Linked DNA regions of Astyanax mexicanus. The protein of the gene in region 1 interacts with the protein of each later gene in a biochemical or structural test. Links are inferred from orthologs where the notes say so. Each region holds a gene or a part of one and is shown in the gene's direction. Other genes may lie near its edges.

Evidence for each region.
Region 2: the proteins of plcg1 (region 1) and pdgfrb form a complex in vitro, tested with the Homo sapiens proteins (3 studies listed by BioGRID and IntAct, with this or other methods). The link is inferred for Astyanax mexicanus from reciprocal best matches to the Homo sapiens genes PLCG1 and PDGFRB.
Region 3: the proteins of plcg1 (region 1) and fgfr2 form a complex in vitro, tested with the Homo sapiens proteins (2 studies listed by BioGRID and IntAct). The link is inferred for Astyanax mexicanus from reciprocal best matches to the Homo sapiens genes PLCG1 and FGFR2.
Region 4: the proteins of plcg1 (region 1) and gab1 form a complex in vitro, tested with the Homo sapiens proteins (2 studies listed by BioGRID and IntAct, with this or other methods). The link is inferred for Astyanax mexicanus from reciprocal best matches to the Homo sapiens genes PLCG1 and GAB1.

What each region holds. Positions count from the first base shown.
Region 1 is NC_064420.1:49,213,369-49,220,421, reverse strand, and holds the start of plcg1 (1-phosphatidylinositol 4,5-bisphosphate phosphodiesterase gamma-1), read left to right. Parts: upstream 1-4,044; 5' UTR 4,045-4,355; intron 4,356-7,053. UniProt on the Homo sapiens protein: Mediates the production of the second messenger molecules diacylglycerol (DAG) and inositol 1,4,5-trisphosphate (IP3). Plays an important role in the regulation of intracellular signaling cascades.
Region 2 is NC_064409.1:67,927,248-67,934,226, reverse strand, and holds the start of pdgfrb (platelet-derived growth factor receptor beta), read left to right. Parts: upstream 1-3,964; 5' UTR 3,965-4,031; intron 4,032-6,979. UniProt on the Homo sapiens protein: Tyrosine-protein kinase that acts as a cell-surface receptor for homodimeric PDGFB and PDGFD and for heterodimers formed by PDGFA and PDGFB, and plays an essential role in the regulation of embryonic development, cell proliferation, survival, differentiation, chemotaxis and migration.
Region 3 is NC_064414.1:11,917,069-11,924,949, forward strand, and holds the start of fgfr2 (fibroblast growth factor receptor 2), read left to right. Parts: upstream 1-4,876; 5' UTR 4,877-5,600; intron 5,601-7,881. UniProt on the Homo sapiens protein: Tyrosine-protein kinase that acts as a cell-surface receptor for fibroblast growth factors and plays an essential role in the regulation of cell proliferation, differentiation, migration and apoptosis, and in the regulation of embryonic development.
Region 4 is NC_064414.1:48,871,754-48,879,701, forward strand, and holds the start of gab1 (GRB2-associated-binding protein 1), read left to right. Parts: upstream 1-4,940; 5' UTR 4,941-5,439; intron 5,440-6,795; 5' UTR 6,796-6,856; coding exon 6,857-6,928; intron 6,929-7,948. UniProt on the Homo sapiens protein: Adapter protein that plays a role in intracellular signaling cascades triggered by activated receptor-type kinases. Plays a role in FGFR1 signaling. Probably involved in signaling by the epidermal growth factor receptor (EGFR) and the insulin receptor (INSR).

The sequences.
Region 1 (7,053 bases):
ACAACCTTCACTGTGTGTGTGTTTACTGAAATGGGACATCTCGTAACGTATCATGTAACACCCGCCACCATGTTTCACAGATAGACAGTCATATCATGATGTGTTGAAGGGGAAATCTGGTGTGAAATGGACTTGAGTTGTAGTGATAACATGATAACAGGGCTTTTATCTGATGCTCCCAACAGGCTTACAATGGCTATTTCTTCAACTGAATTAATTTTGCAATTTGTTCCTCTATGCTATCTATTTGTTTGTGCTCATCATTCAACTTGTGACTTAATTTCAAGATGGCTATCCGAAGGTAAACGTCAGGATCTTTTAAAATTCTACAACTGAATTGTGGAGCTACTTTGAACTTTTAGAGGTGTAAAATAGCCATTTCTTTGCATGACCAACACTATGCCCCCATCACTAGCATTAATTAAGCCTGTAGCTAGCCAGCAGCACATTTTTACAAGTTAGCAAACTGCTCATATAGGTCTAAATCTTCAATTGTTAACGAATAAAAAAACACATAGATGTCATAACATCATCTGTTAATTCTCTGTAAAATTTCCCTCATTATTATTTTAAACTTCAGACTGAAGGTAAACTCCCCATGTGACTCAGAGCCAGTATTAGATTAGATTTCTGATCTTTTATTAAAAGAGTACTTGTGTAACGTAAATCCCCAAAACACCAACATGAAAAGTAGGCATCAGACAACTGGCTAATTTTAACGCAACATCCTGTCAGTCAGAAGAACTTAGCTCATGTAGAGGCTTTTATTACATTTAATCAGATTGTATTGGTATGAAGAGTTTTACAACAGAACCTAGAAACCAACCAAATATATATTATACCATGTGATTGGCTAAGAGATGCTCTGGGGGTACCAGTATTGCACAGTAATGGCACTCTGTCCAAAGCTCTCTACAACAAGCCTATATACCTATACCTACCAACAATACTAACCAGCAACCACAGGCTTCTGCCCACTCACAGGCTTCTGCCCAGGCACAGGCTTCTTTCTAAGCACAGGCTTCTGCCTAGTCACAGTCTTCTGCCCATTCACAGGCTTCTGTCTTATCTCAGGCTTCTGCCCAGGCACAGGCTTTTTATACAGGCTTCTGCCCAGGCACATGCTTCTGCCCACTCACAGGCTTCTGCCCAGGCACAGGCTTCTGCCGAGGCACAGGCTTCCTTCCAAGCACAGGCTTCTGCCCATTTTCAAGCTTCTGCACAGACGTTTGCCCATTCACAGGCTTCTTTCTAAGCACAGGCTTCTGCCTAGTCACAGTCTTCTGTCCATTCATAGGCTTCTGGCCATACACAGGCTTCTGTCTATTCACAGACACAGGCTTCTGTCCAGGCACAGGCTTCTGTCCATTCATAGGCTTCTGCCCATACACAGGCTTCTGTCTATTCACAGACACAGGCTTCTGCCCAGGCACAGGCTTCCTTCCAAGCACAGATTTCCTTCCAAGCACAGATTTCCTTCCAAGCACAGACTTCTGCCCATTCACAGGCTTCTGTCTTATCTCAGGCTTTTGCCCAGGCACAGGCTTTTTATACAGGCTTCTGCCCAGGCACATACTTCTATCCAGGCACAGGCCCCTGCCCAGACACAGACTTCCTTTCAAGCATAGACTTCTGCCCATTCACAGGCTTCTGTCTAATCTCAGGCTTATGCCCAGGCACAGGCTTTTTATACAGGCTTCTTCCCAGGCACAGACTTCTTTTCAGACACAGGCTTCTGCCCAAAGACAGGCTTCTGCCCATTAACAGGCCTCTGCCAGACACAGGCTTCCTTCCAAGCACAGACTTCTGCCCATTCACAGGCTTCTGTCTTATCTCAGGCTTCTGCCCAGGCACAGGCTTTTTTTTAACAGGCTTCTTTTTAGACACAGGCTTTTGCACATTCACAGGCATATAAACATTTATATATGCTTGTATCAATTCCATTACTAATTTTGTATCATTAAAAATGTTTTATATTTCACTCCTGTTATTCGTCTCTGTGCTGCTCTGAGGTGCTGTGTATAATGTGGAGCAGGTGAAGGTGGCGGGCGCCTCTGTGCCACCGCTCCGTACAGTCTGGGTGCAGACGAGATGCTGTGGTGCCTCTGTGGTTGTGGTTTGTCGTCACTGCTCATGAGAACTGCTGCAGAAACGAGCTGCAGAGCAGAAACCTGCAGACCAGCTCAGGAACTGTGAGAACATCTGCTTTCAGGCTGCAGTCAGAAAAAACACGATTATTAAAGCGACAGTCTGTAATTTTGGGGGTTTGGAGCCCTCTCTGGTGAGAGTGTGTAATTGCATGGAACATGTGGAAGAGTACTGTTAATACAGCTTATTAATACTCATATAATATAATGTGTTGAGTATAATATTTTTGAATTCATTTTGTTCATGTTTTTGTACATCCAACGAACCTACCAGACCACTCTGGTATTTTTACTTTTTACTTTAAATCGTTTTGACCAGTACTTTTTGTACTATTACTAATAGATTAAAAACCTTAAGAAGTATTTTAAACCCTAGTATCTACAGTATACTTCTACCTAGGCCTGTCACAATAACATTTTTTTGCAAAAGAAATGTTGTCCCACAAATTATTGCGATAAACGATATTGTTGGCATTTTCAGACTATTAAATGGCACTAATATAATGATACATAATATAAAAACATTATATATATAACATTATAATATATATATACATTGTGAAGTGATTGCAGCCCAGGTCTGTCCCAGCTGGCCCACGTTGGATCAGCATAAAGAACCTTACTGAGGCAACACAAACCTAAGAGACACTAAGGTTAAGCGACTAAGCCACGCTGGGCCGTTATTATGTTTCTTTAGGTTTGTTTTGTGTGTTGAAGAAGGGTATTTTTCCTAATTAAAGTACGTTTGGAGTTCATTCACTCCCTGTGTCTGTCTCTCTGTGCTTCTGCACTACCGGGCCATGGTATTCACCATCACAGTCACAATATATGTAAGTGCATTTTGTGAGTGCAAACACAATGGACGATATCACGATTATTAAAATGATTGAATAATCCATTTATTGAACGATAAGTCGATAATGTAATTATTGTGACAGGCCTACTTCTACCTGAATAAAAAATGGGAATACTTATCAAACCTTTGCGCTCTACTACTTTATACATATATCAGTGGGTGAACCCAGTGTTTAAAAACTCCAGCAGCCCTGCTTTTCTGACCTGATTGAAGAATAAGAACAGGGTAAAAGGAGGATGATAATAAAGTATGCCTTTTAATACTTATATAATACCATACTTTGGATATAACATTGATTTATTTTGTTCATTTATGAAATAGTGAAATAGTATTTGATGTATAAAAGGAAAGATTGCAAAAGCAATATAAATCCTGTATAAGTCTAGAAATATGCTGAATTATAAATCTCTACATATCATTTATTGTTCACTAATACTTCCTTATATATCATATTGTGTAAAAATGTCGGATTCTGCGTATAAAACAGCAGTGCTTATAGTCCTCTTATGTAAACGAGCCATATTATAAAATAGTAACGTTACAAATAATGTAAAAAGCAAAAGTTAATTTACTTTTTTATGTAATTATATAAAAAACGTAATAATTATAACTATAATGCCTTTTTCAGTCATTATTTTGCTTATTTGCTATGTTTGTAGTGTTTTTTTTGTATTAATTACTGTTATTAATACTAAAACAACTCTGACTACTCTGTTTTTAGTATAGACGTATTGTGTTGGAGCGATGGTCAAGTCAGGACACTGATAGTACTGATTTTAACGTTAATTTAATAAATTATAAGATAAAATAAAAAATAATAAAATATTACAGAACTACAGTATGTATCCTAATTTTAGGACTAACGTTACAGTAAAAGTGTCCTTTATGCTCAGTGGAGTTGAAATAATAAATAATGGGTTTATAAATGAGAAAAAAGGAGGTGGTCATAATGTTGTGTTGGTATATATCAGATTTCCACTGGGACTGGGGTTTGCTGAGCTTTATTCTGGGGCTGTGTCTTTAAGAGGCCGGGCTCCTCTCCCTGCGCTTTTGTTGTGCAGAAGCGGGTCGGATGGGGGAAGGGCCGCAGCCGCCTGCCTGCTTGCCTGCTGCCGCCGTGTGGGAGACCCTGCAGCCCGGACACTGGGAGCTCCACCGCACGCCAAACCCTGGGATACTTACAGCGGGACTAAGACGCCTCTAGGCCGGCGCAGGATGATCTGAACCGCCGCCGCTGCTGATCCCTCCACCTCCGTCCCTCCACACCGAGATGTGCGGGGCTGAGATTGCGGTCTATCTTCGTGCTTGTCGTTCGTCCTCGTGCCCCCGCGATACGGTTGCGTTTTTAAACGGTAAGAAAGCGAATTAGTGTTTTTTTTTTTTACTATCCAAAAAATATGAAACGGTTTTAGCTGACTGTTTTAATCCGGTTTCATTTGTATCCATTTCTCCATAGCTAGGATATAAAAAAAAAACACAACATACACTCTCCTTAAGCTAACTAGCTTTTTATCACCAGTACTGAAAAAAAGAATCCAAAATATCTTAAACCTGTCAGGCACATTTTAACACCCTTTTAATTCGGTTATTTACGAATAAACAATATTCAATCCGTTTTTATTTCAATCTGCTTCATTGCTAACCTAGCTAGCGTTAGGTTATAAAACAACAGTATTAGCTTAACCTACCTTTCTATCATCAATAGCTACTCTAACGTTAACGTTAACTAAACTAGCTTAGCTAGGTTAAAAATAAACCAAAAATATATTAAACGTGTCAGGCACATTTTAAACACCCTTTAATTCGCTTTTTTTATTTTTTATATTTAATCCGGTTCATTTTTATCTGCTTTATAGCCAACCTATGTAGGTTATAAAGCAACAGTCTTACCTTTATCAACAGTATTCAAGATTAGCTAGTTTTAGGTTAACTTACAACTAGTTAAATTAGCCAAAAAATTAACCCAAACCTATTTGAAACGTGTCAGGCCTATTTTAATACCATTTTAATTAAAATGTTATTTACGAGTACACAAAGGTTTATTCCGGTTTATTTTATTTTTATATCTGTTTCATAGTCAGTTAACTTACCTTTTTTAGCACCTGTACTCTAGTTAGCTTAACTAAACTAGCTTAGCATAGCAAACTAGGTAAAAAAATAATCCAGAAAAAATCTTAAACGTGACAGGCTAATTTTTAACACCTTTTTATCACTCTTTTTATTCGTTATTTACGAATACACAAGGTTTAATCCGGTTTATTTTCTTTCTGCTTCATAGTTCTAGTTAGCTAGGTGTTTTAAAACAAGTCTTTGTTAATCACCATTACTCCTAGTTAGGTTAACTAAACTGGCGTAGCTAGGTAAAAAAATGAACCCAAGAAAATTTTATAAGTTAACGTTACCTGTCAAGCATATTTATTACACCCTTTTAATGTGTTTATTTACAAATACTTTTAATTTAATCCGGTTTGTTTTTGTCTGCTTCATAGCAAGCTAGGTTATAAAACAACAGTTTTAGCTTTTTTAATTACCATTACTCTAGTTTAGCTAGTTGGATATCTAGCGATTGGGTTAAAAGTTAAGCCACATTTTAAAACACCCTTATAATTCAGTTATTTACAGAAAAACACAAGGTTTAATTCGGTTTATTTTTTATCTGCTTCAGGTTATAAAATTACATATTAAAATGACAGGTTATTTTTTTTATCTCCAGTACTCTAACTATGTTAACTAAACAAGCTTAGCTAGGTTAAACTAGCAAAAATATCTTAAACGTCTCAGGCACATTTTAGTACCCTTTTAATTGGGTTATTTACGAATACATAAAGTTTTAATCCAGTTTAATTCTTATGTGTTTTATAGCTAGGTTATCAAACAACAGTACTTAAGCTTAGCTAGTTAAAGTTAGTTAGGTTAACTAACAGCTAATTAACCCAAATATAAATTAATGTCAGGCACATTTTAAACACCCTTTTAATCTGTTTTTCTACGAATATATACAATTTAATGTGGTTTATTTTTATGTTTCATAGCTGGCATTAGCTAGGTTATAAAACAGTCTTATACTACATTTTTATTACCAGTCAATCTAACGTTAGTTAAGTTAGCTAAACCACCTTAGCTAAAAAGATCAAAATAAGATTAAAACTGAGTCTTAAAATCTTAAATGTGTCAGATACAATTTAATACCCTTTAATTTCCTCATTTACTTTGGTTATTTAAGATTAAATTTGGTTTAATCTGTTTCTAAACGCTGGTAGCGTTATCCACTCAGAGATGGAATCATTTGAGTCGTTAGCTTAGCATAGATACACTGAAATCTGCTTCAAATGCACAGCCTGTGAGCCCTACTCTCACAGATAAACTAGATTAACTATGTTAAAATGTAGTTTATCCTATTATACAGATTATAGGTAAATATATTAAACGAGTATACAGGCTGTGCCAGATTATGGTTAAGCAGGGTTTAATCTTCTACATGTCGTATTTAAACGATTTTGCTAGCTAATACAGCTTAGGTTAACTAGGTTATCTGCCACACAATATTCTATATATTCAGTATATTGCAGTGAGCACTAGCTATGTATGTTTAAATGTAGACTTTTGTAGATATTATGGCCATAAATCTGACTATTTTTTACTAATATAGGTTACATGATGATCATTGAAGACCTTTAACTTTGTTTTTATGTATATTTCCCAGGTAAATACAACAATACAAGGGCAATAATCAAGGTTTAATGTTGGTCCATTTCTATACTATTAGCCTCACTCTGCTTATCTTTTGAAGACTGTAAACTGTATTTTATTATTATATTTGAATACAGTAATACAAGAGTAATAATCAAATTGAGTCTATCAGTCTATATCTATTATATTAACCACACTCGGCCAATATTTTGAAGACTCAAACTGCATTTGTTATAGACTTAAATACAGTAATCAAATTGACTAGTATATCGGGACTATTAGCCACACAGTTAATATATTTAATATATTGCAGGTAGCACTAAGTATATATGCCTTAATGTAGACCTATTCTACCTATAA
Region 2 (6,979 bases), on another chromosome or scaffold:
GCCTCCTCCACGTCTCCTGGTGTACTGGCCTGTCCCCTGGTAGCGCCTCCAGTCTCTGGACACTACGCTGACAGACACAGCAAACCTTCTTGCCACAGCTCGCATTGATGTGCCATCCTGGATGAGCTGCACTACCTGAGCCACTTGTGTGGGTTGTAGAGTCCGTCTCATGCTACCACGAGTGTGAAAGCACCACCAACATTCAAAACTGACCAAAACATCAGCCAGACAGCATAGGTTCTGAGAAGTGGTCTGTGGTCCCCACCTGCAGAACCACTCCTTTATTGAATGTGTCTTGCTAATTGCCAATAATTTCCACCTGTTGTCTATTCCATTTGCACAACAGCAGGTGAAATTGACTTTACTTGGAGTTATATTGTGTTATTTGAGTGTTCCCTTTATTTTTTTGAGCAGTGTATTAAGATATTTGGAGAGCATTATTAGTATTGTGACATTCTGGATCATTGACTTCTGTTACAAATCGATTAAAATTCTTGTATTTTTTCAATATTTCAGTTAGTGTTGTGTCAGATCATATCGTATGCAATAATATTTCAGTGTTTTATCATATTGCCAAGAGTATCGATATCGTGAAAATAACATGAAATATAATGATATTATTTTAGGGCCATATCGCCCACCCCTAGTGGCCAGACAGGGACCTGCAGGCAATGGATAAGAACCTGGGGTGTCTTTCAATGCCAAGAACACAAAGAACTAGCTTGTGTTCTTGGGCAGAACGTTGGTAAAACTTTGCAATAAGTGTACATTAATGAAATGCTGTGTACTTGCTATTTTATTGTATTTACAATACAAGGGCTTAATAACTATTGATTGTTTGTCTGAACATCTTTTCATCATTAGTGTAAATACAGTAAATACTTTTTATTTCAGTTTGTTTTGTTTGGCAAATCAGTTTTGTGGAAGATTAAGAACACATCCGGGAACTTGAACTATTCTTGGTCATTATTGTCTTGAGTATTAGAAAGCAGCTTAAACAGAGGAAAATGATAAGAACACACGGTTGCAAAAATACACAAGAACACACGTTGAAAACAGATCTGGCATTCCCCTGGGCAAAGAGTATTCACAGGTGCAATGTGGTTTTCAGTTCTCAGAATGCTGTGAAGTTTTGTTTTTAACATTTTGGTTTTAATGTTGAACTGGGAAGTGAGAGTACCCGCTAAAAAGCTAAAATTACATTTTCTGGTAAAAGTTTAGATTTATCGTAACCAGCTTTACACCTACCACAATAGCCTGTTAATAAAGGATTTTTCAAGTTCCCAGTGTTTAAAATATGGCCACATATAGTTACAGTTTTTTTTCAATTGCTAAAACACTAAACCCTGTTGTCTAAAGCAAATGCTCTTTGCCCTGAACCCATTTATTTAAATGTTCACTCTTTTGGCAGAACCTTGAGCACTTTTCATGTAGTTAGACACAACTTGCAAACATATTTTCACTCACTAAAACACATTTTGCACTGTGATGCCCTTGGGCTGCATAATTGTGAGCACAGGTAGCAAAGTGAAACTCCTGTTTAGCACTTCTAGTACAAAAAAAAACATGCAGTTACAAAAAACGTACATGCACTACTAGTCCTACAAGTTTATTGGGAAATTAATGTAATAAATCACATTTGTATTGAATCATAATGCAAACATTTACCTGTTCTCCTGTCTAAATCTTCGGATTATGATGGACACTGTGAATCTGCTTATATTGGGCTGAAGTCAAAGTCCCGTTTCCCTCATTGTCAAACCGTGGACTAGAACATGCTGACAGTTGCCCAAATTTTATCTGAAATAATTGTTCTACCTCCTCTTCATCTCTTACCCTGCCTTTCTGATGGTTTCTGTCCATAGTGAAACATCAGTGACCAGAGCTTCTTGTCCTGGATTATAATGATGCCTTCTATCCTTAGACACAAGTGTGATCAATTTTGAGTTGCTATGTTTAAGTTGAGACACCTGTGCTTTCACTGAGTTTCACTTTTGCTTACCATTATGTTGTGCCCAAGTGCATCACAGTGCAAAATGTGTTTTAGTGGGTGAAAATATGTTTGCAAGTTGTGTCTAACCAGGTAAAAAGTGCTTAAGATTCTGCCAAAAGAGTGACTATTTTAATAAATGGGTTCAGGGCACAGTGTGTGTGTGTGTGTGTGTGTGTGTGTGCTAAGAGACATTGTGCTTGGAGGGCAGGCCAGGCTATAAGGGCTAAGTGTGTAGTTACCCCTAGTAATGAAAACTCTGCCTGAGAACTAGCCCTGTGTTGAGCCGACTTCACGCTGGATGTTTTCAGAGCTCTTTAATCAGCTGTTGGCTCGAGTACAGCACGGTGTGTTTCTGCACACTGCGGTTCAGTCCTCAGATTGCAGTAAACAGAAGAGTGAAGTGTAGCAGTGATTAAAGGGTTAAAATCAAAGAGCTACATCAGTGTTGAGATTCAGGGAGTGTGTTTATGAGATGTGACGGCTCTGTTCTGCTGGGTACCACAGTCTTTTATAATTACTGTCTGTTCTTCACGGGCCCTCGCATTCACTCACACAATTAGAGGAGTGAGTGTGCCAGCTTTTCTCTCTCTCTCTCTCTTACTCTCTCTCTCTCTCTCACTCGCTCACTCGCACACTCTGTTTTTGTCTTTCCAATAAAGAGAAAAGTCCTTACTCAGCTGCTGGAAGCTCTTATGAATTTCCAGCCCACTCTGCTGACTTCCTTGAAAGAGAGAGAGAGAGACAGGAAAAGAGAGAGCGAGAAAGAGAGAGAGATATTGTGAAAAGAGGCGAAAGAGTGCAAAAAAGAAGAAAAGGTGAGAATAAGAATGAGATCAAGTGAGCGAGAAAAGAGGTAACGAAAGAGAAAGAATGAAAAACAAAGGCTGAGAGGAAATAAAGAGTAGAATCAAGTGAGAAAAGAGATTAGAGAGAACTGAAAGGAATGAGTAATAATATGACAGAAAGAAAAAAAAGTTGGAAAGAGAGAGGAGGTAGAAAGTAAATGAGTCAGTAAAGATCTAGAGAGAGGAGACAGAAAGAAAGAAAGAAAAAAAGAATAAATAGTGTCAAAGAGTAAATATACAGTAAGAAAGAGAAAAAAAAAATAGAGAAAAACATCCAGTAAATGAGATGGAAATGAATGATGGCAAGAAACGAAACAAAAGGAAAGAAGAAAAAATAGAAATAGAGAGAGAGATGAGAGGGTCAGAGAGAAATAGCAGAGCGAAAAGAAAGATAAGGAGACAGATTTGTGAGATAGAAGAAAAGACAAAAATAGAGAGAGGTTAAAAAAGAGAATGAGAGAGAAAGAAAGAAAGAAGGGAAACAAAGAAAGAGATCAAGGTGTGGTAAACTGAGGATGAGAACTGTAAAGAGAAATAGTTTTAGAGAGGAAAGAAAGAGAAAGAGAGCGAAGGTAAGCAAGAGTAAGAAATGAGAGGGAGTGAAAGAGTGTCAGAAAGGAAAGAAAGAGAAAGAGATTAAGCGAGAGACAAGAAGAAATAGAAAAGTGAATGACAGACCATGCAGGCAGGAAAACAGCCAAGAGTGAAAACAGACCATGGTTCTGTGTGTGCGTGTGTGTGTACACGTGTGTGTGTGTGTGTGTAGGAGTGTATGCTCACACTCCTGTAGCCCCCTTCTCACTGAGCACCACAGCTGATACACCTTCTCTCCTCCAGAGCCCCCTATCCCCCCATCTTCTGCCCTGAGAGTCCTTTCAGCTTTTGCTTTTTACTTTTCTCTCTCTCTCTTTCTCTCTCTCTTTTTCTCTCTGTTCCTTGCTTTCTTTCTCTGCTCACTTTAGGAGCTGCCAGTTTCCAGGGAGGATTTGCTCTGTTTCCCTGCCACTCGTGATTTCAGTGAAAGAAACACAAAACCAGGGCTGTTGCTGAGGAGACCTGTGTGTGTGTGTGTGTGTGTGTGAGACTGTCTGCCATCTTTACTTTACTTGTTTTCTGGATTTCCACCGTAACAGACCCTCCTCACTGAAGGACTCATCACAGCAGATGATCTGAGTAGAGCGAGGAAGACTCTGGTACAGATCTTTAGATCTTCACCCTCCTCTGTTTTTCTGCTCTGTCTGTTTTTCTCTCTCTTTCCCTCTGTTCCCCCGGTGTCTCGCTCTGTCCTGGTCTGCCCTCCTCCTCTTTGTTGTTCTTGGTCGTTAGATGTTGAAGTGGTGGGCAGTGTTACAGCTCAGGTTGGGGTGAGTTGGGGTGAGTTGGTCTGAGCTGGGGCTGCTATCAGTAACTGGACCCCTTAGTAGACATCTGAGTAAAATAAACAAGAGCTCACATGAAAGCTTTTGAAACAAAAACAACTTACAAAAGATCTCCAGACAAACACAGAGATGTTTTGGGGAATGTTCTTAAGGACTGAAGTTCCAGACTGTATATAATAGTTTCAACGAAACTTTCAGTATTGTGTCCCTTGACTTTTGCCATGTCCCATGAAAGCTAAAGAGCGCTGCACTGTCAAAGCCTTTAATGATGAGCAGTACCAATCAAATGTTTGTATACACCTCTTTTTCTTCAATGTGTTTTCTTTCTTTTTATGATTTTTTTTCACATTGTAAATATAATATTGAAGACTATATTAAAGTTATACAAAAACAATGTAAAATTATTTTTGTAGAAAGAAAAAAAAGTTTTAAACAAACCAGAATATGTTTTATACTTAAAATTATTTTATGTAGCACATTTATGTTCTGTTATTTGTTTGTTATCTGTTTGTACTGAGCGGGTCAACCCGAGTAGGATGGGTTCCTCTGACTGCGTCTTGGTTCCTTCCAAGATTTCTTCCTCTTAAAAGGAGTTTTTCCTTGCCACAGGTCACCATAAAAAATAGCATCTCTGTGGTGCTGCTCATAAGAGGCGTGGACCTGTTTTTCTCTGTAAAGCGGCTTTGTGACAACCTTTGTTGTAAAAAGCGCTATATTGAATTATCTTTGAGGACAGATCTGCACACTCTCAGTATTTTGGTGTCTTTTTAGATTCAACTTAGATTAGATTCAACTTTATTGTCATTGTGCAGTGTGCAAGTACAGAGCCAATGAAATTGAAGGAGTTCCTGAAGGTGCTGCACAATAGTTGCTGCTTTTCCTTCACGCTGTGAAGCTCCAGCTCAAAGCAAATCACCATGTCAGTTGGGATTAGATCAAACACTTTTTTTTTAAACTGTATACTATGTAATTCTACATGTGTCCCTTAACTTCATTACTAATTCTCATGTCTTTAATATTAATCTACAAAGTAGAAAATAAATTAAATAAAGAAATAAAGAAAAAACATTGAATGTGACAGAGTCTCTAAACTTTTCACTGGTACTGTATACCCTGTACACATGACAATGTGGATAAAGGAAATGGAATGTCCCATCCCTCTAGAGTTCAGCCTGAGTTTGGGCATTCCCAAAACGTTCACAGAGATAACACTTCATGATTAATTTACATACTGCTGTCCCATGACTTTTTGCATGTGTGTATGGATTTGAGAATTTTTTATTGGACCAATTATCATGTAAGTTTGATACAATAAAGAACTGACCAATTAAAATAGTCAAAAAGTAAAAAAAAAATAAAGATATGGATATTTAAAATATAGAAATAAAGCAATGTCCATGTGTGTCAAAGAAAATTCTAATTCATTTGTATATGGTTATTTTTTCATCCTATCATTGTTTGTTTAGAAACAAACTGGCTGTTTTTGCTAAAAGCTAAAGTCCAAAAACTTTTGTTTTAACGTTTTCAGTGTGAATGGGTGTGGCTAAACTGTTTGATAGGTAAGATAAAGTAATCAGGTATAATTATGTACAGTATATGTATATTTGTATCTATATGCGCTTGTACATAAGCATGTAAACATGTATATCCATTTATATGTGTGTGGGGAGTCAATGTCCATGTAGTATTTCTGGATTTAAATCTTAACTTAAGTACATTTTTACACAATACAGTGTATCTGTATTCTGTGTTCTTAGGCTACTTCTTAACAGCCTATCCATCACACATAAAGAACAGTCTAATTAAGCTTTGCGTTGACGTTATGCTCAGACGTCACACGGTGGCACTGCGTCAAGAAACATATGTACTTTTTTATTTATTAAAATAAATTAGAATGGTAAAAACAGTTTTTGAAAACATTTTAAATAAATTTTAAGCATTTTTATGTGATGTTATTATTTTTCACATTGTACATTTAGAGAGAATTCTGAGTAAGCTCCATGACAGATACATCAGTTGCATCCGTTCATATTGGGACAGTTTTTATGAAGTTTTTATGGCGTTGGGACCCGGCTATTATAAAGGAGTAAATGTGTAAAATGGCAAAAATGTTTAATCAAATAATCAAATTATAATTCAAATTTTAATCAAGCAAACCATGTTTTTTGGCAAGATATGGACAATTTGAAAGAAACAGTAAGATATTTCTCAGTTTATTCTTATGTCTTTTGGAATCAAAACAACATTTATAACTTTTATTTATTTTATATAAATTTTATTGAAGTTTTTCAAAAGCATTTCACAAAAAACAGCACATACAAAGTTTTTCAGTCATGTTTCTTCAACACATCTTTTGTTTCATACAATAATAAAATTAAAAGTAAAACAAACATATTACATTAACATAATCGTTTTTTTTTACAAGATTCGAAACATTTAAAATAAAACAGGTATATTGCCAACATCTTTCAAATATTTTTCAAATTCTTTTCTTCTTTTTTTAATATCAACAAGAGCTTGTTTTAATACATAAAGACGTAAAATTACACAGTTATCCATATTTTATTTTTTATAATACATATCCATATGTATTACAAATTTATTTGGGATCTTGAGAGGCTTTCTTTAAAGATAACTAAAAGATAACTTTTACTCCTAAAGATTCCTGCATTAATCCAAAGCTTAATTCTCTAGTTCAGTGTTTCTCAACCAGGGTGCCGCGGCACCCTGGGGTGCCGTCTGGCTTCATCGGGGGTGCCGTC
Region 3 (7,881 bases), on another chromosome or scaffold:
TCTGCTCATAACATCTTTTTTTTTCACCTTTTCATAAGCCATTTTTTCTTTATATTGACCAGTGTGATTCATGGTAATTCTGCCATGAAATCCAGCAAAAAAACTGATGCTGGTGTTTGACAGGTATTCGTTTAACGTGAAGGTCAGTGGACAACCTGTGAGGAGTCTTTATATTTATTTTCTTGCACAGTTGTGCATCGGGGTCTCCCACTGCATTTTTTTTTCCTTGTTAGAGCCAACTTTTACTACTTTTGAAAGGGATAAGTTACAGTATCAGCATAGTAAGATAGAGTAGTCTCAGTTTCTTTGCAAGCAAGCAACTGCTTTAGACACTTTAGATACTAAACTAACCTACAATGTTGTGCTTTCTTTTATGCTCCCTTATTAGTATAGCGTTTTTTTCTGGTTGTGAAACAAATGTGACCTTACCTTGCAGGCAATAACTATTCAAGCGTGTAAAACAGACATGCTCTTTGCTTCACTATTTATTGTGAATGATTGTTAAACTATTCAAATTTGCTATTAAATGTCTTTATTGATATTCTGTAGTACTGGTATTTGTGAGGTCCAGAAGGGTATTGCATTTCAATATTCCAGCCACAATCAGGAGAGCGGTGATCCACAGACAGAGACATAACCTGTCTCAGTTTCTACTCTCTGCAGGCCTTTGTGGCTCCCCTACAGAGCTCCTGCAGAGTCTGAGCCTGGGAAGACTAGCATGAAACCAGTGTAAATCAGGTTTGGACAGGCAACCAGGACGCTCCTGAAAGGCCCGTCCCCATCCCTTTTTTTTTTTTTTCACGCCCTCTAAACCTGTAGCTCTCCTCTCTTTTCACTCCCCACACCCTCCAACTCCCGTCCAAGCTGTCACCTTTTCTACTGAGTCTCTGATGGCTTTACTGGGCCGGGAAGGGGGAGAAAATGGAGGGGGGAGAAAAAGAAAATGAATGAAAGAGAGAGAGAGGGAGAGAGCGAGTGAGAACGGAGATGGACGGCTCCATTGACACAGCAGCCTCTCACTTTCTTTAACAGCCTTATTAGCCGTCCCTTACCAAGTGAAAGAGGACGTTTCTTTTCTGCAGGCTGAAAAAAGAAAAAGCAGGCAGGCTTTCTTAAAGGGGGAGAAGAAAAAGAAGAAGAAGAAGAAGAGAAAATAAGAGGTGAAAGCATATTAGCCACTGCTCCCTCCTCTCCCAAACCCACTACGTTTTTTTAGTAAAAAATTTTTTTGGAGGGGAAAGGGTGAGGGGTTTGTGGTGGGAGGGGGGTGGTCCTTGAAAAGGCCCTGTCCAATGGAAGAGACAGCTTGGAAAGAGAGAGAGCGAGAAAGAGAGAGAGAGAGAGAGAGAGAGAGAGAGAGAGAGAGAGAGAGAGAGAGAGAGCGCAGTAGGGGGGCCCCCTCTGTCTCTGACGTTTAGAGATCATTAATCAATCTGCCCCCACCTCAGCGTTAAAGCTTGGAGATAAGACCCCATGAAGAAACCCACAAGGCGCTGCACGTAGAGACTGTATGCTCTATGGAACATAAAATAAACTCATTCCAATCTTGGAGCAGATTTGGGCAAATGCATTGTATCCCCTTTTTTTGGCATTTTTCACTTAAGAACAAATAAAAATGATCCAAACTGAGTTTTACTCATATAGTACTATATACAGTACCAGTCTAAAATTTGGATAAATCTTATCATTCAATGTTTTACTTTTTACTTTTAATGTAGAAACTTAAAAGTATTAAACAAACCAAAATACTTTAGGTGCTCTTATCTGGGATGATGTTAAGTTACAGTTTCTGAGACTGATAACTCTGATGAACTTATCCTGTGCAACAGAAGTAACTCTTGCTTTTCCATTACAGGAGTGGTTCTGATGAGAGCCAGTTTCATCATAACGTTTTTGATGGTCTTTGTGACTGCACTTAATGATACTTTTACAGTAGTTAAGAAGTTCTTGCCATAATATGGATTAGAACGTTACTCAAATAGAGCTATTCACTGTATACCAACTCTACCTCTTTACAACTTCACAACTGATATACAGTATATTAGTCAATGGTTTCTCAGTCTTTCTTGGTTTCTCAATCTATTCCACTGACAGTAAAAACTATTTTTTTTTGCTTTTCTAAAGAACATTCTTTCTTCATTTGCAAGGTTCCCGCAACTCTGGTTAAAATTAAACAACACAATTTTAAGCGTGATTTCAACCCCAATTTCCAGTAGTGGTGAGTCTGTGCTAGTAGTCTCTAGTTTGTAGACTCTGGTATAGTGGGAGCTGACAGTTGGACTGTAAGTTGTGTAGTGTATGCCGGGCTGAGACTTTTAGTGCTGATTTTTAGTGTCAAAATCACATCGGACTTCAGTCTGACCAAAATCAAACATTTAATTTTCCAACCCGATTTTGGGAAAATGGCAAAAACAAAAAGCTTACAATAATTTAAAAGTTGCCATGAAGAAAGATGTTAAATTTACCCAGGTTTAATCTCTGCACACGTCAGCTACAAGTAACAAGAGAGATAATAGTAGACAGTACTATTGGTTCAGTTTGGGTCTGTTTTGCTGCTTTTTAAAAGAGTTTAAATGACCGACATTATGCATTAAGCAAACTGTGCATTTATTATATAGCTATAGTTTGATCACAAATGATCTCTCTATATATTTTTACTTACTTGGCCATTTTTTCACTTTGAACATTATAAAGTGCCATTACCAGCTCCCTGCAACCGATGCCTTCCCCTGAGGTTCAGAACCCCTGTGTTCCAGCCAGTCTTGTTTCAGCATGGCTGTCATGATTATTCTCAGTGACAGGCCCGTTGCAACAAGGCAAGCAAACAAATCTATTGCCTAGGGCCCCGAGCTGGCCTGGGGCCCCCAGATAACAACTGGTTGTGAATTAAATGCAAGGCAAACTATGTGAGCACCCCTTTAAATTCTGTGATGGTCAATGCAGGAAAGTAAAACAACACTGTTATTAGAATCCCCCTCAATGGAGCCCCTCCCACTAATTGCTGACAGTAGCCAGTCAGCCGTGCTTGTGATTCTTGCAGCTAGCAAAATATGAAACTTCAGTGATTATGAAGTGGAGTTATCCATCAAAAAAAGAGAAAGAGAAAACAAGCCATGTGATAAGAAAATAAGTGTTAAGTGATATTTAACACTGGATCAATGAGGCCCACACATACAAATGTTGTAAGGTAGATTAGCAACACAATATATGGATGATGTTTATGTTACCTACCAGCCTGGCAGTCAATGCTAGTAATGAACTAGAACAGCCAGTGCAACAAGTTAGTTGAAAGGGCTGATAATATGGTTACATACTGTAATGTTATATTAACAGGATAATGAAAATCTGTTTTAGATTCACTGTTTATAGTATAACATGACATTGCAATAAACATTACAATAGTTAAAGGAAAACTCCAGTGTAAAATTGACTTTTGGTGTAGTAAAACATGATAAAGCTCTTTGAAAGTTATTAATGCCTTGTTTTAAATGTCAGGGCTCTCCAGATTCTACCAATGAGGTGTGAAGCTACTATGAGCCTGGATAATGGTGTTAAAAGTGATTTATCTGCAGGGACAAAATATGCCCCATATCATTTATTCTAAAGCATGTTTGGACAAAGGAAATAAAATTACATGATCTCTGAAAGCTGCAAAAGAATAGAGGTGGCCTATTCAACAAAGGTTAGTACTCCTTATCACATTTTACTACACCAAAAGTCAATTTTACACCAGAGTTCTCCTTTAACTTTTTTAACATTTTAATCGTGATTACCTATCTACCAAATTTTGAGTTGTAATAACCTATGATAATTCTGTGCATCATATAACCAGACTGGAATAAGTTTAGTAGTATCCATACATGTCAGCTGTTCAATGCCTTCAAATTCTTAAACAGCAGAATGCTTAAACCTGTTCTAAAAGTAACATTAGAATGGGGTGTTTTTAAGTTGTATTTCTGCTAAGTGTAAACATCTGAAACTAATATTAACAGTTAATGTTCACATTTTTTTAAATATATTGGCTTTTACAGTTATTTTGCCCTTTTTTATACACTGCCTGGCCAAAAAAAAGTCACCACCCGGATTTAATTAAATGATGTGAGGTTGCTGCAGTTGGTCAGGTCTAGGTTCAGCAACAGTAGGTGCTGAAAGAATGAGGTCAGCTGACTACCTGAATATACTGAATATAGTCCCGGTTATTCCATCAATGGATTTTTAATTTCCTGATGGAACGGACATATTCCAAGATGCCATTTCCAGGATTCATGGTGCTGGAATTGTGAAAGAGTGATTCAGGGAGCATGAGATCATCATTTTCCCACATGGATTGAGAGAAAGTTCACCACAGAGTCCAGATCTTAACCTCACTGAGAATATTTGGGATGTGCTGGATGGAGAAGAGATGCTTTGTGCAGAGGTCAGACTCTACCATCCTCAATGCTGCTGCAAGATCTTGGTAAAAAATTAAAGCAACACTGGATTAAAATAAATCTTGTGACAGCTTGTGGAAAGCTTATTGGAACAATGCCACTCCAAATGCGTGCAGACTTTTAATTTGGTCAGGCAGTCTGTTAGTTGTTATGGGATAGAGGTGGGTTTACATGGTGGGGACCTGTTTTGCTTGGGGCCCCAAAATACTTTGAAACGGCGCAACTCAGTGAGCGAGCGGGGCTGCAGGTCCGAGCGCGCGCGGATGAGGGAGTCGCAGCAAAAATCAATGCGCGCGGTGTGCTCAGGCTGGCCAACAGGCGGCGTGCTTCTCGGGGAAAATAGTGCGTGTGGTGTGCTGCTGGTGCTGCTGCTCTGGGGGAGGGGTAGGTTCTCTCCCACTGGTGAAAAGTTCGAGTTTTTTTGCAGCAGCAGCAACAGGAGGAGGAGGAGGAGGTCTTCAGTGAGAGCAGAGCTGAGGGGTTTAGAGCAGAGCAGACCCGGGCAGAGCACCGCGGAGGAACCTCAGCTCAGCTCAGTGTCTGGACTCGCTCAGGACTGACTGGCGGAGGAGCGAGAAAAAACTGCAGTGAGGAAACGGATCGGGTTTCAGGGGGGAGTGACATTTCTTGAGGGGCTGGAGAGAAAGAGGGAGAGAGAGAAGGAGTGAGGGAGCTGCAAGAAGAAGGAGAAAAAGAAGAAGAGCCTGTAGCCTAAACCTGAGTGAGAAAAGCGTCTGAGAAAAGCAGCAGGAGACTGTCCGCGGACCGTGTCTAGCAGGATGTATACCCGGGCGAGGCGCTCCGTCTCCGGCTGCTAAAACTCCGCTTTACCCCCAGCCTTGGAGAACCGTGGGGGCTGTTGTTTTTTTTAGGAGGTGGAGGAAGACGAGAACGACTCTGCGGAGACGGACTTAACGGAGAAAGACAGAAAGTTCTGGGTGTTTATCGGTGTTTTACTGGAGTTTTACAGTGGATTTACTGGTTCGCTGCTGCTGGATACGGATCCGGGCTGGCAGTGATTTTGGAATAGTGAAGACTGGGCGATTCAGCGGAGTTTTTCTTATTTTTTTGAGGGGTTTGGAGCGGAGTTTGGATATATATCATCAGTCTGCCCATATGCCCCCGCCTGCCTGCGCTGTTTGTGCGGATCGGGATCCTCAAAACTTAGCGGTGAGTTTTCGGGCCGCAGAGTTATCGAGCAGCGCGCGGAGCGCAAACAGCGGCGGAGCCTGAGCGCCCGCGCGCCCGCATGTTTTTAGCGCAAGACGTGATTGAAACGTGGCTTGATGTGGACAACACGTCCCGGGCGCTCTGCCTGCCTGCTGTTTTAGTTAAGCCCAGCTACCCTAAACGTTTAATAAACGTTGATCGAATAAACGTTACAGTTTATATCTTTTAGTGTTAATGGAAATAAAATCAACATTTATCAACGTTTATTTAGCGAAAGGCTTTGAATAGTGCTATTAAGATAAACAAACGTTAAACAACCTGTTGACCCTAAATTATTGTTTAACATAATATGCCTGTTATGCATTTGTGTTCTCACTTTGACATCGAATCAACATTCATTTAGCGAAAAGCTTTCAATAGACGTTTTTTTTAGTTTTATTGCATTGTTTTTATTTTTAGTAATGTTTATAATGGAAATACAAACAGGTATTAAGTTATATAGTTAAAATCCTTTATTTTAACATTGAATCAACGTTTAATAGGCGAAAGGCTTTGAATGCTTGGGGAACTTTTACACTCACAACCCTGAAACAAAATGTGGGTTGTATTAAATCTACTTTAAGTGTTGACAATAAAAAGAAAAGCAAACTTTATCAAACATCAAATCAACGTTTATTTAGCGAACGGCTTTGAATAGTGAAATAAACTTTAAACAACCTCACTTTCGACATCGAATCAATGTTCATTTAACTTAAAAAGCTTAAAACAAAAAGCATTGAATACACTTTGATTTTTATGTGGGTTGTATTACGTGTTTTGATGTTTATGATAAAAAAGCAAAACAACCATTGTTTAACATTGAATCAATGTTTGTTTAGCTGAAGACTTAGGATAGTTGGGACACTTTTGCTCTCACACAACCCTGATAGCAAAAAAAAAAAATTGGGCTGCATGACATCTTATTTTAATATTGATGATACAAAGAAAAGCAACTTTTAGCTAAACAACCTTTATTTCACATCAAATCAACGTTTGTTTAGCTAAAGGCTTTGAATGGTCAGGACTACACTCACAGTGCTTACATGCGGCTAAAGGTGCACCTCACAAGTCATATCTATAATAATATTTATTATAATAGTAGGTTCATCATTATTATTATTATTTAAATGGCCCTCTCTGCACTGCAAGAGCAAAGAGTGTTAAAGTTGAATAAAAACAATGTTAAATCGATGTTGAATCAGAAAACGTTGTTTTTAGTGCATTAGAGGTTAACAAATAATAAAAGTTGATTCAAAAAGGGCGTTGTGTAGTTTGTGTTGGAATGTTTAGTAGCAATAATCTATAATCTTTTTCATTATGTTAAAAAGCAACTCTATTAAATTAAACAGAATTGAATGAATTTAGGTCAGAAAATAACAGTATAACCCAGTAAAACTTTGGTCAGACACAAGATTAAACATTATATTAGTGGGTGGAGACATTCATTCATCTCATTTAAACAGATTGCCCATTTACCGACACCTAAATGCATTGTTTGCATAAAAACAGGATCGTAAATCTGTGATTGTGAATGCACTGGCACTGAGTGATTGTAATGTGAAAGGGATGATGGTGATGAGCTTTAACGTCTTTAGATTATTTTCTTATAATTAAAAGCAGGAGAAAACTAGTCAATAGTTAGCTAGTGATTTAACGGCTTTGTTTTTTACGCAAATAAATTAAAAAGTACCTAAACTGTACATAAAAAAAAAAAAAGCAATGAGGGGTGTAGGGGTGGGTGATATGGCTCTAAAAAATAATCACAATACTTCAAAGCATTTTTGCAACAACAAATTTCAAGATTATACTACCTCAACACAAGAAATAATAAAGTTGTTAAAGTACATGCAGTAGAAATAAAAAAGTCTATACATTTTTATCTAATTGTAAACTTAGCAAGACACTTCTAATTTTGTATTAAATGATACCTAATAAAAATAAAGAAATCTACTACAAAGAAAGCCAATATAGTGCATGCATACAAACTGCAAACAAAAAATTTAAAGTAAATAGAATAAACTGCTTTCAAAATATCGCTATTATTTTTTTATCTTGTCAAAAATGGTTGTGATGTTATTGCATGTGATAAGATACAGTGAAATAAACTCACTGCATTTGCTAACTAATGTTGCCATGCAAAGAAATGCTAAATTTACGCAGATTTAATCTCTGCACACGTCAGCAACAGGTAATGAGAGAGATGATAATTAGCTATTAGTAGATATTAGTAGATAAAGAGCTT
Region 4 (7,948 bases), on another chromosome or scaffold:
AGTGTCGCTGCCTCGAGGCTCGGGCCTGGAACTTCCCCATTCGCTCTAAATAGAAGCTGAGTGCTCTGAAGGTGCATTTCTTAATGGAGATGCTCATATGTATAATGCACCGAAGCCAGTCTTGTGGTTTTTAAAGGGAGGGGTGGGCATCGTTTTAGCTCTTAAATCCACCCCCAAAAGCCCATTAGCTTTGCAACGTGTGCTGTGGAGTAGCGCCACTCGCGCTGCCTCCAAGACCATTTGGTAAAATCAATGGCTTTCAATTATTCAGCAACCGAGAACCAAGCGTTTTCTCACAGCCATTTCACAAGGACACATCAACACTCTGGCCCACTCCCACTAACCTACATTAATCCAGCCGAGGGAGAAAGTAGGAGGTGGTGAGAAATCTGAAGCTGTTTCTGTGCCTCCTCCCTTTTTGGGCCTGTTATAATAACAGACATCTGCTATTGGCTTCATTACATTACATTACTTTACATTACATTAAATTAAGCGGGTGCTTTTGTCCAAAGTGACTTACAATAATGATGTAAATTAGCAATAGAGAACATAGAAGTTCAAGGTAAAAATATTTTTTGACAATAGTAAGATAGAGAAGGAAAGGCGAGGAAAAAGGAAATGAGGTTAGTAGTAGTGTGTTAGAGGTGTTAGGAGAGTAAGTGCTCTTTGAAGAGCTCAGTCTTCAGGAGTTTATTGAAGATAGTGAGAGATTCTCCTGATCTGGTAGTAGAAGGTAGTTAGTTAGAGGTGTTAGGAGAGTAAGTGCTCTTTGAAGAGCTCTGTCTTCAGGAGTTTATTAAAGATAGTGAGGGATGCTCTGGAAGGCTTGTAAGCATTGCATTGCAATTCAGATGAGTGTTGAGCACTAATAATCAGATAGTTTAATATGCATTAAATTTAAAGCAGTAGTATTACTGCATTGGAAATAAGCATCCAATGATTAATCAGTATAATCAACAATCTAATTGTATGTAAAATTGTATATATATATATATATATATATATATATATATATATATATATATATATATATATATATATATATTTATATACTGGGATAACTTATACAGTTTACACTCTACTTGTGTTGTGTCTCCAAAAGTGCAAAAACTCAACTGATCAAATAGTCACTCAGTAAATATCAGTATATTTATATATATATATATATATATGTATATATATATATATATATATATATATATATATATATATATATATATATACATATATATACATATACTGGGATAACTTATACAGTTTACACTCTACTTGTGTTGTGTCTCCAAAAGTGCACAAACTCAACTGATCACATAGTCACTCAGTAAATATCAGTACTTTTCGAATTTTAACATCTTCTAGGTATTTAAAAGGCATGTACTGTATATCCTACATTGAGCTGTTTCCTTTATTTTAAAGTGAAGGAAGCAAAGGAAGTCTTCGCATTTTGACATCTGCATTAAACATGCTCTTTTTCATGCTCTGTGCCATTACTCATTCTCACCAGAGAGGTAAAACAAAAACTTACAGAATGTCACTTTAAATGTGAGTCTGCAGCAGAACAGTTGTACACTAAACTGTACACTAACTAAGAGTAATGAGGACAAAATAACATAGCCCTTCATAATATGCAGCTAATGCCCTGCCAGTCTTAGTGCGCAGCACTAGCAGTTTGAGATTGGCTGCTCTTTCCTGCGTACGCGTCCCTGCATGCCGTATAAAATGCCACTGGATTTAATGCGTCCCTCATAAATGTTTTAATCTTTCGCAGAAGCTTGAACCCCCGGACCTTTCCCTCAGAAATGGACTCAGCAAAGCAAAGGCTCTAATTCAATCTCTCTCCTGTGAGTTTAGGATCTGTCTGTAGCTTGTTTTGTATCAAAAACAACTCTTAAAAGACCTATATCAGAAAAAATGAGATTTACCTCATTTTTTAAAAGTAAAAGATTGATGCAATTTGTAAAAACATATATATTTTTTTGCTTATTTCAAAGTGCATTCAAGCTGGGCTTATTCCCTGTTCATTTTATGCCTTATAAAGTATCTAGAGAGAAATTAGAGCAACTAGAGTTAGTGTTATATTACATTATTATAAAGCTGTGTTTAGTTTGGTTGATTTCAATAATCTATTCAAAAACGACCCCACCAATCCGCAACACACAGAGCCTCCACTACCAGACTCTGCAACAGCTTCTTCCACCAGGCAGTCAGACTCCTCAACACACACAGCCTCCACTACCAGACTCTGCAACAGCTTCTTCCACCAGGCAGTCAGACTACTCAACACACAGAGACTCCACTACTAGACTCTGCAACAGCTGCATCCACCAGGCAGTCAGACTCCTCAACACACAGAGCCTCCACTACCAGAGTCTACAACAGCTTCTTCCACCAGGCAGCCAGACTCCTCAACACACAGAGCCTCCTTTACCAGAGTCTACAACAGCTTCTTCCACTAGGCGGTCAGACTCCTCAACACACAGAGCCTCCACTACCAGACTCTGCAACAGCTTCATCCACCAGGCAGTCAGACTCCTCAACACAAAGAGCCTCCACTACCAGACTCTGCAACAGCTTCATCCACCAGGCGGTCAGACTTCTCAACACACAGAGTCTCCACTACCAGACTCTGCAACAGCTTCATCCACCAGGCAGTCAGACTCCTCAACACACAGAGCCTCCACTACCAGACTCTGCAACAGCTTCATCTACCAGGCAGTCAGACTCCTCAACTCACAGAGACGGAGCTGAACCCCTCAGCCCCCACAACCCCCCACTACCACACACCCAACACTCTCGACACTCTTCACACACACTCTCTTAGCACACAGAGACCGAAATGTCTCTATCCTTATCTGCAATATTTGTTGCTTCATTCTATAGAAAAGTATAAACTCTCTACCTAATTTTAATTTTGTTACACTGTGTAATGACAATAAACGTATATTGATTTGAATTGAAAAACAAGAAAACAGGAAAATATTGATGAATATTGCATGTGTAGAACTGGTTCCAGTAGACAGTGTAAACTTATGTTATTTGCACTGCTAATGTCATTAACTAAAGCCTATCTGCTGAATCTGCAAACAGAGCAGACTTGGTCACACTTTCTTCAACGAAAGACATGTAAATGTAACTAAATTAAGTGTGCAAATCCTCTACTCTAGTTCTAACACAGTCTACCACATGATGAATAGCTAATCTGCACTGAAAGATTCGTAAACACAAAGGGATCTGCTGAGCAATGCTCCTCAGCTCAGAGCTTCAGAGAGCGGCCTGCTTTCCTGGAGCTGTGTGTGTGTGTGTGTGTGTGTGTGAGCAGGCAGGCCTTTGTTAGTGGAGCTGATTGGAGAAGGCGTTTCCCATTACAACAGCATTCCTGCCATACCAGTCTCTCTGACTGAGGGAAGAGAGAGCTGGAGGGAAAACACTGGAAGAGACTGTGCAGCACAGGATCAGGAACACGTTATACACAATTGACTCTAAAATTAGCACAGTTATGTATTTCAGTACTCTGTATAGTGTATATGGATATAAAAGCATGCATAGCATAGTGGATTTAGTGTTTTGTGTTTCAAGATTCAGTGTTTATTTGTTATTTGCACAATATGTCAGGACATACATGCATTGTTTGCTTGTGGTGAGGCTTAGGGTAACTACTCTGCAGCAGGCTTACACAAATAAACAGGAGTAAACATACTAAATAAAACAGGAAATGTAGTAAATATACACAAAATATTCATAAACATATACAGAAGGAGGAAGGTCCTATGAAAAAAAGGTCAAAAGTTTTAGAACACCCCTATTGTTCTCTTCTCCTCACTGCTGAAACTGAGACTTAGTCCAATATTAAGCTGTGTTAAAGGCGCGGTTGCCATGTGGGTCAGCTAGACCTGACTCTTACTGTACCCATTTTCTCCAGTTTCTCCAGGAGTCTTTTAAAGGTGTCTTTTAAAGGTGTAGGAAACAGTATTCACCGCTCTCTGGCTTCATCTGTAAATTCTCTAAATAAAGACTTCTACTTTTTATAGTTACAGAGTTCTATGTGTATCTGTGTCTTTTTCTAGTTTTTATAAAAAAAGAGTGAATGTGCATTTTAAATGCTGCAGAAAAGAGAGCAGTAAACCATATATTGAAAATTACAGTATTGACTATAATAATACCATCAACTATAAATAAAAATATCTCACTTAATACAAAAAGTGCAAGCATATACACACAATAATTTACAAATCGACAAATATACACATATCAATGTATACAACAAAAGAGAAAAAGTGTAAAAATACTGGAGATAGAAAATGTGCATTTTTCCTCCCTACACTATACAAATAGATTGGACATAGGAATCTGAGTGGACAAAAACTAAAGATTTTCTATCAAAACACAAATATATGAATGTTTTTTTTTGTTAGAGTGAATTAGTGTGAACTACTGTCCCTCTTAGCATTTGTCTTCACACAAAACACCTAATATATCTTAAACATCCACACATATAGTAAGTTAGTAGATTTAATAATATTAGACGTAAACGTTAACTTTTATAAATATAGCCATTAAAATATTAATAATAAATAATGCAAATTTTAAAAAATCAATTTACCTACTAGGATTCATGTACAAGATGGATTCTGGTAAGTGTAGTTTACACGGGAATGATGAAAACGCTTCTCAAAAATCACCTGGTTTTAATATTTTTTTCAGTTCTTTTTTCGTCAGTGATTGTTGCATTGTTATCTAAAGATAAATAAATATAAAATAACGTTTCACATTTTTTGTTTAGTTGAGTTAAAACGTGTATTGTACTGCGTGTATTGTGTATTGTCTATCGCTTAAAGACTACATTTCCCATGGTGCATTGCTTCCCTTCTCTCTCTCTCTCTCCCTGTCTCGCTCTCTCTCTCTCTCTCTCTCTCGCGCGCTCGTTCGCTCGTTCGCTCGCGCTCTCGCTGGAGTTCGAGGCGAGTTTAGGGGAAAAGTATCGGCGGTTATCGGCTGTCAGTCACCCGGGAGCGGAGCGGGGAGGGAAAACACGACGGAAAAGGAGGATTTTCTGCTCAAACTGCGGACGGAGAGAGTCTGGGCGGCTGAAATGTGCTGGAGAAGAGAGGAAAAGCGGCGGGAATGTGTGGAAATGTGTAGTTTTTAAGAGAGAAAGAGAGGGAGAGCTGGAACAGCCCGGGAGAGCTGGAACAGCCCGGGAGAAGTTGCTGGATTAAGCAGGCGGAGGAGTGTTCGTGTGTTTGGAGGCGAAAAGTGCGGATTTTTCTCGGTAATTAAGCCTGGAGTTTATTTCCACGCGTATGTTCTGGATTTATTCTGTGTTTTAACGCGGATTTGAGTCTTCCCAGCGAGAGGAAGGAGTTGGTAGCTGAGAGTTTTGGCTGTTGTGGCTGAGCTGCTGGAGGAGGAGGAGACGCTGGGAGAAGCTCAGCACTGACGGTATTTTCTGCCCTGTTTTTCTCTCTTATTCCCCTCTAAACTTTCTACACTGCTTATAAACCACGAGGATATCGTTTATTAGGTGTTACTAGGTCCGTTTTTTGACCATATGACCAGAAAAAATAAACAAACTACCTATGTTTATGTTGTTTGAGACTGTACAACTTTATAAGCTATGCAGCTAATTTCCATTTTTCTAGCTAGCTAGGTTAGCTAACTTAGTTTGGTAAAGAGAAGAAATTGGGTTAAAGGTGTACTGATGTGAAAATTCTGGGATACCGATACCCGATATCACACATCGATACGTTCCTAAAATAATCGCCTCATAAACTAATTTTAATTCAGTTTAAGTTATTCAGCTAACACTAAAGCCAAGAGACCTTTTTCATCAGTTGTTATGACTATTTAAAAATGAGCAGTAACGTTAGAATCAACCATAAACAATCATATAGTCCTATATATACAGCTCTGGGGGGGGAAAAGCAAGAGACCACTTAAAAATATTGAATTTCTTTAATTTTACCCCATTGAGAACACATTTTGGTCACAAGCCATCAAACCCAGCTGAACTGCTTGACTTTTTGGACCAGGAGTAAAGGCATAAAGTTATCCAAAAGCAGTGTGTAAGACTGATTGAGGAGAACACGCCAAGATGCATAAAAAAACTGTAATTAAAAACAGGCTTATTCCAACAAATATTTATTTCTAAACTCTTAATTTTATAAATATCAACTTGTTTTCTTTGCATATTTCTTTTGCATTATAATTTATGTTTATTCGTAAGAAGTAAATTTCAGTGAAGGTAGCTCCATCTTGGAAAGCTATTAAAATTGCAACAATATGTCACATTTTGCTTAGGCATACACTTCTGACATTATCCTAAAGGGGTAGAATCAAATGGTTTGATCAACTGAGGTGATGAAATGTAAAAAAAATGAATAAATACAAATTAGCTTAAATTAATGGATTTTAGTTTGTAGTAGTGCAGTCAGGTTCACTTGGTCTTTTTCCGGCATACAGTAATACTGATATAATTCTTATATCATTGTGCATCCCTAATGTTCATTCATTTTAAAGTTTTTGCTATGTGTACCCCAATAACTATGATATCATGATACTGTGACTATTGTCTGCGTTGCAGTCCCCAACCTCCCAGCTACAGTATAATCCAGACATTTGTACACAATGGAAAAAAAAATCAGAAGAAGAATTTCTTCTTCACTATACTAAATGAACAAAAAAAATACATTTTACACACAATTTCCTATTTTCTAGGGAATCTCATATGATCAGGAAATTGAACTGATAAACATTACACTGACCCTTCACCCACCACTGTGTTTCTCCTTTTTTCAGCTCAATCTGCGTCCCAGATCTCTTCGAGGGACAGAAAGGGGAAGCTTTCTGCAGCAACAAAATGAGTGGGGGGGATGTGGTGTGCTCCGGCTGGCTCAGAAAGTCTCCACCAGAGAAGAAGTTACGGCGTTATGTAAGTAAATCTCAGTTTTATTCAAATGTGCTGTGGTCTGTGGGGGCTGACCACAAAGCCAGTACCCATGCAAATAACCTGCTTTCTAACAGCTAGAGCAGATAAAGCCTGCTCTTTCGTGAAAACGAGCTCAACCAGCTACCTGAGAGGGGAAATTAGTGAATCTGGCACCAGGTTAACTTCTGCTACATTCCCCTAAACCTGTCCTGGGTGTGTGCTGACATGTTTACTTGTCAATATTTTAGCTAGATGTTTCAGTATTTTTTTTTTTAGCATGTGCTGCTGTTTTCTCCTCCCTCACTCACTCACAACACTCACAGCATCCAAACACACAATTAGTGTGACACTAAAGTCTATATTTCGTGCAGTCATGCCTTCATTTCTACCCACACCTCCTCCTCATGTAGGCTAGACTCTCTGTTTGTGGTAAAAGCTGGTGTATTTGTCTTATTCTTGCTTTAAAAGAGCACATTTGACTTGTAGAGTGCCCCTGATATATCCAGGTAGAAAAAACAAAAAAACAAAAAAAAAAACCTTACTTTAAAAATCTGGTCTCTCAGATTAAGAATCCGTTCCATCGGTTTAGCAATCCATTCCTTCGGTTTAGCAATCTATTCCCTCAATTTTATAATCTGTTCCTTTGGTTTAGCAATCTGTTTCTTCGGTTTAACAATCTATTCCCTTAATTTTAAAATCTGTTCCTTCAATTTAGCAATCTGTTTCTTCGGTTTAACAATCTATTCCCTTAATTTTAAAATATGTTCCTTTAATTTAGGCATCCACTCCTTCGGTTTAGCAATCTGTTTCTTCGGTTTAGCAACCTATTCCCCCAATTTTATAATCTGTTCCTTCAATTTAGCAATCCATTCCTTCAGTTTAGCAATCTGTTCTTTTGGGTTTAGCAATATGTTCCTTCGGTTTAGCAAACTGTTCCTTCGGTTTAGCAAATCGATCCTTCTGTTTAGCAATTTGTTTAATAAGTTTAGCAATCTATTCCCTTAATTTTATAATCCGTTCCTT